Coturnix japonica: one gene and its partner. The protein of the gene in region 1 binds, or shares a complex with, the protein of each later gene. Links are inferred from orthologs where the notes say so. Each region holds a gene or a part of one and is shown on either strand. Other genes may lie near its edges.

Region 1 (4,459 bases):
CCAGGTGCCACGAGGGTGCCACAGGGATGTGGGATATGATGGGGATGTGATGGGGATACGGGATGCAACTAGGATGGAGGGTGTGGGGGCAGTAAGGATGGAGAGGCATGATGTAGTGAGTGTGCAGGACACAGCAAGGATGTGGGGTGTGATGGTTGTGGGGTGTGATGAGTACATGAAATGTGAGTGTGATGTGGGACATCAGACACCCCCGATTGGAACCTGCCGCCCCCCAGCCCCTCACCCCGCTCACCTTCCCGCCGGCAGCTCACCGTCCTCCCTGCGCCAGCGGGCGGTGGGCGGGGGGTCCCCCAGTGCCTCACAAGGGAACTCAGCCGCCTGGTCCTCCAGCACCGCCTGGTTCTGTGGCCGTCGGCCAAACGCGGGGCGCTCTGAGGGGCAGCAGCTGTGAGTGCCCCATGTTGGCACAGACCCCAAAGCTGCCGCTCCATCCCCACGCACCAAAGACCACCAGCTCTGCCGGCTCGCTGTCCCTCTCCCCCACCATGTTGGTGGCCACGCAGACGTAGATGCCGGCGTCGCTCTTGCGCGTGGTGGCCATCATCAGCTTCCCACCGCGGATCTGCCGGGGAGCCGCACTCAGACGAGGCCCAAACACCGACCTCGTTGTTCTGGGGTCTCCCAGCCCTCACCGTGATGCGCTCGTCCTTGTCGCTGAGCCGGGCGCCGTCCTTCTTCCAGCTGACAGTGGGCTCGGGGTGCCCGCGGGGTGGGACACACTCCAGCACGGCCGGCTCACCCGCTGCCACCACCACGTCCCCGGGGGACTGACGGAAATCGTCCCGCAGCACTGCACAGCCCACATCACAGGTGACAAGGGGGAAGCAGAGGAAGTCTGGAAGACTCCCCAGATCCCCCTCAAAAGGAATTATTTTCTGAATAAGAAGGGTGTAGGGCTGGAGATATGTGGGACCTCAAAACCATGGGGATAGGGATGGGGATGGGGATGGGGATGTGGAGATGGGGACCATGCAACTGGGGCTCACCAGCCACCTCCAGCGAGGCGTTTCTGCTGGTGGCTTCACCCAGGTAGTTCCTGGCCACGCAGACATAGACGCCCTCATCAGGTTTGCTGCGGCGGCCGTGCACGATGCGGAGGAAGAAGAGGGAGCCGCTGGGCAGCAGCATGCGGTGGGAGCGGGGATCCTCGTGGTCCGTCTCCACGCGCTCACCGTCCTTGTACCACTCCACAGTGGGCGATGGGCGGCCCTCTGCCCTGCAGCTCAGCGTGGCCGGCTCACCCCGGGACACCAGCAGGTCCGAGGGGTGCTCCACGATGCGGGGAGCAGAGTCCTCCAGCCGCGGGTGGGAGCCTGGGGAGGGGTTTAACACAGCCCAGGGGTGTGCGGGCAGAACGGCGTGAGAGGGAAGGAGGCTGAGGCTGCAGGGGGAGGAGCTGGTGTCCCCCCATGGCACCCGGTGTGTCCCCTCCCTGGTCCTTTTGCTGGATGCTGGTGGGGTTGGGGGGGCGGAGGGCGCAGGGAAGAAAACGTGCGGGACCTCAGAGATGCGGGACCGCTGCAGCGCCGCAGCTGCAGTTCGGGTTTGGGCCGCGGGGCGGCAGCGCTGCCTCGCAGTGCCCGGTACACGCAGGTGGCGGCCTGACGGGCCGGGGGGGTCGTGACGAGGGACCCGGGAGGGGGGGGAGGCACCGCTGCCGGGAAGGGGGTGGGATGCGTTGCCATAGGGACAGGATGCGTTGCCATGGGGGTAGAAGCGTTGCCATGAGGACGGGATGCTGCAGAGTTCCGGGGGGTCGGGGGGAGCAGCGGGGCGGGGGCCGCAGCTGGGCACGGGGATAATTGGCACCGGGGGGGGGGGGCGCACGGTGCCCCCTCCTGAGCCCAGCCGGCTGCGGTGGGACGGGGCGTCCCGCGGGGCTCACAGCGCGGACCGGCCGCCCTGGACCCAAAAGGAGCAAAAAGTTCGGGCTTAAAGAAAAAGGGAAGAACTCGAGAAGTGCCGTAAATTCGGGAGAACGACCCCGCAGCTCCAGAACCCGCTGAGCCCCGGGACTGTCCCGGCTGGGGGACACGGCAGCGATCTGTGGGGATGGGGGACGGGAGTTCGGTTTGGGGACACGGCACAAATTAGGGGACACGGTCTGCAGATACGGAGCCGGTCTGGGGACGGAGATCTGCTCCTGTTTGGTGCACGGGAGCAATATGGGGACACGGGTCGCTGTCGGTTGGGAGCAAGGGGCAGTTCGGGGACACACGGTGTGTTTGGGGATGAGGAGCCACTCCCAGTTTGGGGACAAGGGACAGGCTTGAGAAAATGGGGCTGGTTTGGAGATAAGGGACAGACCCCGGCATGGGGACACACGGTGGGTGTGGGAAGAAGGGGACAGTCCCTGGTCCGTCCCAGTTGGGGGCTGCGGGGCGCGCTGTGACCTGCGACGGGGCGGGATCGGGAGAGAGGGACACGGGGACAGAGGGACAGAGGGACAGAGGGACAGAGGGACAGCGGGACACGGGGACAGTGGGACAGCAGGGGAATGGGAAGGCGGGACAGAGGGACAGAGGGACAGAGGGGGAGCGGGGGCCGGGCCGGGACCCGACGCGTACCGTTGCCAGCGGTGAGGTTGCGGAGGTCGAGCGCAGCTTCGCTGCCGTTGATGCCGAGCAGCAGCTCGGAGGAGTTGGACATCTCGGCCGCCAGCGAGTCCGCGAACAGGTTCATCTGCAGCAGCGTCTTTAGCAGGTACCGCAGCATAGTGGCCCGGCTCGGTCCGGCCGGGCTCGGCACGGCACGGCCGGACCCAGTACGACGCGACTCAGCCGGACCCAGCACGGCTCGGCTCTGTTCGGCCCGGCCCGGCTCGGCCCGGCTCTGCCGGACCCAGCACGGCACGGCCCGGCACGGCTCGGCACAACGCGGCCGGACCCAGCCCAGCCCAGCTCAGCTCGGCACGACCCAGCCCGCAGCACCGCCCCCAGTCCCAGCGGGGAGGGGGGCGCGGCCAGAGCGGTGCGGAGCGGGGGGAGCGCAGAGAGGGGGTGTCCGTGGCGGGCGGGAGGGTGTTACCTTTAGAGTGGGGGCAAAGGGATCAGGTGGGACTCTGCTATAAGGGGGTAACCTGGGGGTGAGGGCTGAGGGGTTGAGGGGCAAAGGGATGGGGTGAGGGGGTCCCAAATGGGGTGGAATATGGGGGTTGGGGGGGGCAGCTGATGAAATCTTGGCATGTCCCGAGTGAGCTCCACCAGCTGGGCTCCGTTTTGGCTTCAGAAGAAGGAAGGGGAGGAAGCGGCAGCTGGGGATCCCCAGCCCATCCCAGAATGTGTTGGGTCCCAGCATCGCCCGTCACCCCATGGCTCTGCAGTAGCCACGTATCTCTCGAATTCATAATTGGCAATTAGCTGCTTTATGAATGTGCCAGGCCAACATGTGAAGCAATGTGCCTGTTCAAAGCTGGCTCCTGCTGATGCTAATTGGAGCCCGACTGCGGCCCCTCAGCGCACCCCCCAGGAGTGGGAAGGGGCTCCTCATGGTGCCACTAATGACCAGGCTGGAAAAGCTCAAAGCTGAGGCTGGCAGCGGTGGGGGGAGCTCAAAGGAGAGAAGAGGTGGGAATGGGTGATGGGGAGAAAACAGGGAAACAGCTGTGTGCACATCGGGAGGTTCCCATGCTCCCCTCTGTACACACAGAAGAGGCCACTTTCTGATGCACACATCTGGATGAACATCTGCAAAGGAGGGGTGCAGATGTGCTGCAGCACAAGTTCTCACCTGGAGGCGTCCTTGGGCTGGTGCCCAACCTTGTGTGGGTAAAATGGTCTCTGGGATGTTGACATCTGGTCGTGCACTCAAACAGCTGGAGGGCTCAGCTGAAGTGCAGGACAGCAGCTGGGAGGGTCCCGGTGTGGCAGCTGATCAAACATCTGTAGATGTATGGATGCAGATGGATGCTTTAAATTTGTGCATATCTGGAGGCACGGCAATGCTTCGTGTGCTTTCAGCCAGGGGTGTAAATGGAATCTGAGCTCACATCTGGCCACACACACCCGGCAGAGTGCAGCACACATGGTGGGTGCACACTTCTGGCACTGTGCTGCCATTGCAATGAGTGCACATCTGTGCACATCTGAGCTCCTATGGGGCACATCTGGGAGCCTCCCCAGCCAGGAAAGTCCTTGGAGCCCAAAGATGCAGCGTTCCTATCTGGGCATCTTCAGGGCCATGCATTATTCATGCTCCCTCTTGTTCATGGGCAAAGAAGAGAAAGCAAATAAATATTAATTTAAGAATAACACAAAGCTTTCCCATTTCTCCTGCTGGGGTTCAGCAGCCCAGGGACTCCTGTGAGGAAAAAGCAGCAATAAATGGCCTGCAGAATAACAGGTTTATCCAACTATTATCTGAACAGTTCTCTGGAATGATAATTGAAAGCAATGCCAGAGTATTGAATTAGGGAATCTGTGCACCTTTAACAGCTGAG
Region 2 (4,522 bases), on another chromosome or scaffold:
AAGAGAAGATTTCCTACTCTGTGAAGTAGGAGGTGTTTATCCAGGTGTAAGCACTGCTGTCTCTCCAGTGTCTGCACATCCGCTGGCATCCGAGTCTATGCTTGGCAGCGCTGTAAGCAATACTTAGCACTTCTAATTGTCTGTTGTCCAAGGGCTGCAAACAGCATTGCAGCCACTCTGAGAGAGGCCAGGCCTAGTCAGGAACTCTTTGTCAAATGACAGAATGCCGCAAGCTTTGTGGCTGGAAGAAATAGCAGCTTAACACCACACAGCTAGCGACGTCGTGATAATTTAGGTCAAAATCAAGAAGCATTTAATGTCCTGCTGGCAGTGCAAGGACAGGAATATGATCCGACCTGAAATCTAGCTAGTTTGCCAGGAGGAACACTTCATTCTTGCTATCAGACTTTTCAGAAACTTTAGTTGGATTAGATTTGATTTTGTGTGTAGATAGAGCCTGATTTTGTTATTCCATAAGCACAAATGTAACTAAGCTACTATGAATCGGATGCATAGCTGTATTTCCTAGAAAGAAACCTCTTACATCAGAGCACTGAGCTGGGATAGAAGGGTGTGCCTTCACCTATGGATGTGCCGTTGCCTTGTTTTCTTGTTGCTATGGTTATATAACATATACACATATGTGTATACAATCCACCTCTCCGTGCCTGAGGGCTAGCAGCAGTGCTGATAGCATGACACACTAAACAAAAGCAAGAATGTACAAAGCTACATTGGAGCAAAAGCTGTTTACTGAAACTGGAGGGTAAATGGCTGAGATACTGCTGAGATGAGCACCCTGAGGTTTCCTGGAGTGCACACCCTGCTAGCAGCCAGGAACAGCTGTTCTCAGTGATCTTACTAAATTAATGATTAGGCAGCTATGCTGGCTTCTGATCACACTATTGTGAATGTGCATGAGCACAGTTGCCCCTTAAGAATTGCTTTTTATTTTGTTTGATTTATTTTCTTCTGTCATAGAATCCTTTGAGTTGGAAGGGACCCTTAAAGGCCACCTGGTCCAACTCCCCTTGCAACAGAGACCCCCACAGCTCCATCAGGTGTGCAGAGCCCCATCCTTGCATGTCTCCAGGGTTAGGTTTTCCTCTGCATCTCTGGGCAACCTTTGCCTCAAAGTGCCTCACCACCCTCGTTGTACAATACTTCTTCCTTATGTCTAATCCAGTTATTTCAGTGTTTGTGTTATCCCAGCTTCCTTCAAACATACACTTAAACATTTATTTAACTGTTTGTTTTTGCGTGCAAGCTGGCCTAGTTTTGTGTTAAGCAGAGCCTAACTACAGCATGATGAGGTGAGGAGTATTTGCCTTTCCACCAGCTGGGGCTTGACTGGAACTGTATCGAACAAGCAGGACCACCTGGGCTAGCCTTGGGTGGGACGGGAGCTCTAGTAGTTGCCCTCCATCTCTAACCCAACTTTAAACCAGATGTTCAAGGGGGGTCGCGAGCTAGAGCCGGTTTCTTCTACGTGCGTGAGCCGAGGTTGTGGCTGGAGAGAAAAAAAAAGTAGGTGAAGAGATTCTTTAGAACAGCCATTGGAGCAGCTTCACCGATGACTTGCAAGTATACCGAAGTGCTGTCCCCTTTTTGAGCTTGATGGACGTGGAGGGGAGAGCAGTTAAGCCACTCGAGCAAGGACACCGGTGCTGCCCTCGGCAAGGTACGGGTATCCGCGTTACAGTTCGGCGCTCCATCGGTCTGCGGGGCGGCGCGGGGGGGTCTCATCCCTTTGCCGAGCTCGGGGTCTGCGTGCGGGGCCGCTCCCACTCGGCGGCCGGGCGGCGGCGCTGGCGAGGCCCGGGGGGGCCCGCGCGTCACGGCGGGGGGCGGGCGGGGAGCCCCAGCCGCGGGGGCGTCGGGGCCGTGCCTGGGCAGCGGGCGGAGCCGCCTCTGCCGGTGCCGCTCCGCGCATCGGAGGCTGCGTTCGGCTCGGCTCCGCTCCGCAGCAGCTGTCGGCAGGCAGGGAGGGAGGCAGGCGGGCGCCGCCCGCGCCGCGCCGATGGGTCTGCTCCTGCTCCTATGGGCGTGTGCGGCCGCCGCCGGGGCAGGTAAGGGATGGGACGGGATGGGGCTGCGGAGCCGCATCCCATGGGAGCGCGGGTGGAAACTTTGCGGTGGGCTGAGGGTCGGGCCCCGGCTCTGGGGGCTGCGGCGGGGGGCGCTGGGCGCGGCCGCTCCGCGAGCGTTGGGGTCGGAAAGTTTCGGGGCAGCGGCTGCGCCCCCGGGGATCGAGCACGGAGGGGAGCGGGGACGGCTGCTCTGCTGCGCCGTGCCCAGAGCTGTCCGCGGTGGATGGAGCCCGGGGGAGCCGCGAGACCCGGCGCCTGTTCCCGGTGGCGGCTTTGTTCTCTCCATTTACCCCGCGAGTCGCCCTGCACCGGAGGGAGCTCGGCTGGGGGTCGTTTCCTTGCTGGTGTCCGTTGGTGTCCTTAGGGAAATTTGCCGGTGCGATTAGCCGAAGTGCGAAAGAAGCGGTGTTTTAATATTGTTCTTAGTGTTTTCTTATTGAAATACATTGCTTTTGAGAGGTGGTAAGTGGAGTAGTTGGGAGAACACGCCGTTCCTAATACTCGCCCCAGCAACGCTCGCAGGCACTTGCGGTGGTAAATAGGACCCTAAACTCACCTGTTTGGAATTGCAAAGCTGCTCGGAAAGTTCTTTGTGTGCAACAATTGCTGCAGGAGCTGCGGAAGGGCCGAGCAAAACGCCTCAGGTGGAGGTTCCAGTTACCACCTGAATGATTGCACATGGTTGTGTGGGCACAGCTGGGCTGTGTCGGCTGTGCTTTCAAAGTTTCTCTGTCTCCAGGCAGCCCACGTACGGCGGGGTCAAGGAAATTATGAACGTGCTGCACGCATCATATGGTGCACATTAGGTAGCTGGAGCGTGGTGTAATTGCCAGGGCTTGGGTGCTCGTGATAAAGGTGCAAGCAGAGCGTATGAGCTGTCGGAGCCGTGAGGTGGAATTAATTTCTTCTAGGGATTTCCTAGTGACATAACTCATAATTATATGGCTTAATCCTCTAATCTACTCTAGTGCCTTCAATTTGCATTGGGCCAAATCTACCAAGTCCTGAGACGATTTCTATGCCTGCCCCCTGAGTGAATTAGTAGGAGTTTTGCTTGTGTAAGCCACTGATGTGAGGGAAATGGCCCAATTACTTTAAATAGGAATTGAAAGCACTGTTGGTCAGGGTCGAGCTTTGCACAGCTCTCCAGCAAGGACTTACAGGTTGATGGTTAATTTTGACTTCCAGAAGCAGCAGTGTTTTTAGCCTTCCTTATGCTGAAGGGAGGCAGCAGAACGTGCTGGATGCAGTTGGTGTGCTTGTGGAATCCTTTTGATAGAGCATGAGAGACCACAGGGGAAAAGGAGACTTAGTTATGATACTGAAGCTGCTGATTTGTTGTTTATTAATTATTTAACTAGGCTTCTGAGTGCCTGCTGCAGGCTGGGGAGCCAGCACAGGAAAATGACTGTATTTAAAGCAATGTTAGTCTTTTGCTAAATGGATGCTGCGACATTAGAACTAATTTCCTTTTTTGAAAGCATTCGAAAAGCTGGGAGGGAGCACATTGAAATTGTCACACGGGATCCCTCCCTGGCATGAATCGAAGTCTGTGGAGCTGCAGTGATCTGTACTTGTTGAGCTATCCATGCTGGAATTAACAGCCTTAAGAGAGCAGCGGAGCTTCGGTGATTTATAGGAGTGTCTATACATGCTCGATGTGGTTTCTGTCCTCACCCTCTTGATGTCAGTGGTGGAGCATTCGCTGGCTTTAACGGGGTCAGGATTTGTCTTACTGGATGTGGTTTGTCTTTTCCATTGAGCAAGTTTTAGTCTCTACCCTGGCTGCCCTCATAGTAGTAGGTTCTTGTTGCTCCAGACCCATCTAACCTCTTCCTGATAAGGAATAGCATACTCTGCTTTCAGTAGGGAAGATGAGAAACTAAAACTGTCTGGTTTTTACTACTCAGCGTACTGTGCAATAATGTCCTCTGGATTATCGCAGCTTGTTATCAGGAGGAGTTTTAATTTCTAAATAAAAGAAAGGAGAAAGTACTGTGGAACAGATGATTTATGAGCAGAATATGTAACTTCTTGTTCATTCTGTACATCTCAGTAGTTTTTTTAGAGCCTTTCAAAGAGTTGGACTAGGGAATTTGCTGCTTAAATGATCCAGAAGCACAGTCTTAGAATGCCAAATAAATCAGTTTAGACCTGATCATGGACTCCACTTAGTGGATATCAATCTAGATGTGCTCCACAGGTAACGTCCTTGCCCCACAGAAGTCAGTGAGAGGTTTTACTATTGACTTTGGTTGCATCAGGCTTTCATTCTCAGAACCCGTTCCCATTACTAATGATGTTAGCAAAAATTTTCATTAGGAAAGTGCTTGGATCCTGCGTGAGGTTGTTTGACCTACGTGTCAGGCACAGCTCTTGTGCTGTATTTATTGCTATGCTGAGAAAGATAGTGCGGTCAGGTTGGCCTCTTG

What was found.
Region 2: the proteins of ROBO3 (region 1) and NELL1 are in contact, whole or in part, in a crystal structure (PDB 6POL), measured with the Homo sapiens proteins. The link is inferred for Coturnix japonica from reciprocal best matches to the Homo sapiens genes ROBO3 and NELL1. Residues at the interface, in NP_071765.2 of Homo sapiens: Ser553, Pro555, Val590, Glu592, Phe594, Pro596, Asn600, Thr601, Trp602, Thr604, Ile624, Leu626, Arg630, Gly633, Ala634, Trp635, Gly636, Leu637, Ser638, Glu639, Pro646, Val647, Arg648; in NP_006148.2 of Homo sapiens: Ala440, Lys441, Met442, His443, Tyr444, His446, Tyr458, Arg468, Val469, Asp470, Asp471, Phe472, Ser473, Asp478, Ile492, Cys493, Thr494, Asn495, Thr503, Cys504, Lys505, Pro506.

The regions. Positions count from the first base shown.
Region 1 is NC_029539.1:195,871-200,329, forward strand, and holds the start of ROBO3 (roundabout homolog 3), read right to left. Parts: upstream 2,947-4,459; 5' UTR 2,737-2,946; coding exon 2,589-2,736; intron 1,335-2,588; coding exon 1,008-1,334; intron 812-1,007; coding exon 654-811; intron 584-653; coding exon 463-583; intron 393-462; coding exon 254-392; intron 1-253. UniProt on the Homo sapiens protein: Receptor involved in axon guidance during development. Acts as a multifunctional regulator of pathfinding that simultaneously mediates NELL2 repulsion, inhibits SLIT repulsion, and facilitates Netrin-1/NTN1 attraction.
Region 2 is NC_029520.1:1,773,737-1,778,258, forward strand, and holds the start of NELL1 (protein kinase C-binding protein NELL1), read left to right. Parts: upstream 1-1,602; 5' UTR 1,603-1,617; coding exon 1,618-1,681; intron 1,682-1,920; exon of another isoform or gene 1,921-2,020; coding exon of another isoform or gene 2,021-2,069; intron 2,070-4,522. UniProt on the Homo sapiens protein: Plays a role in the control of cell growth and differentiation. Promotes osteoblast cell differentiation and terminal mineralization.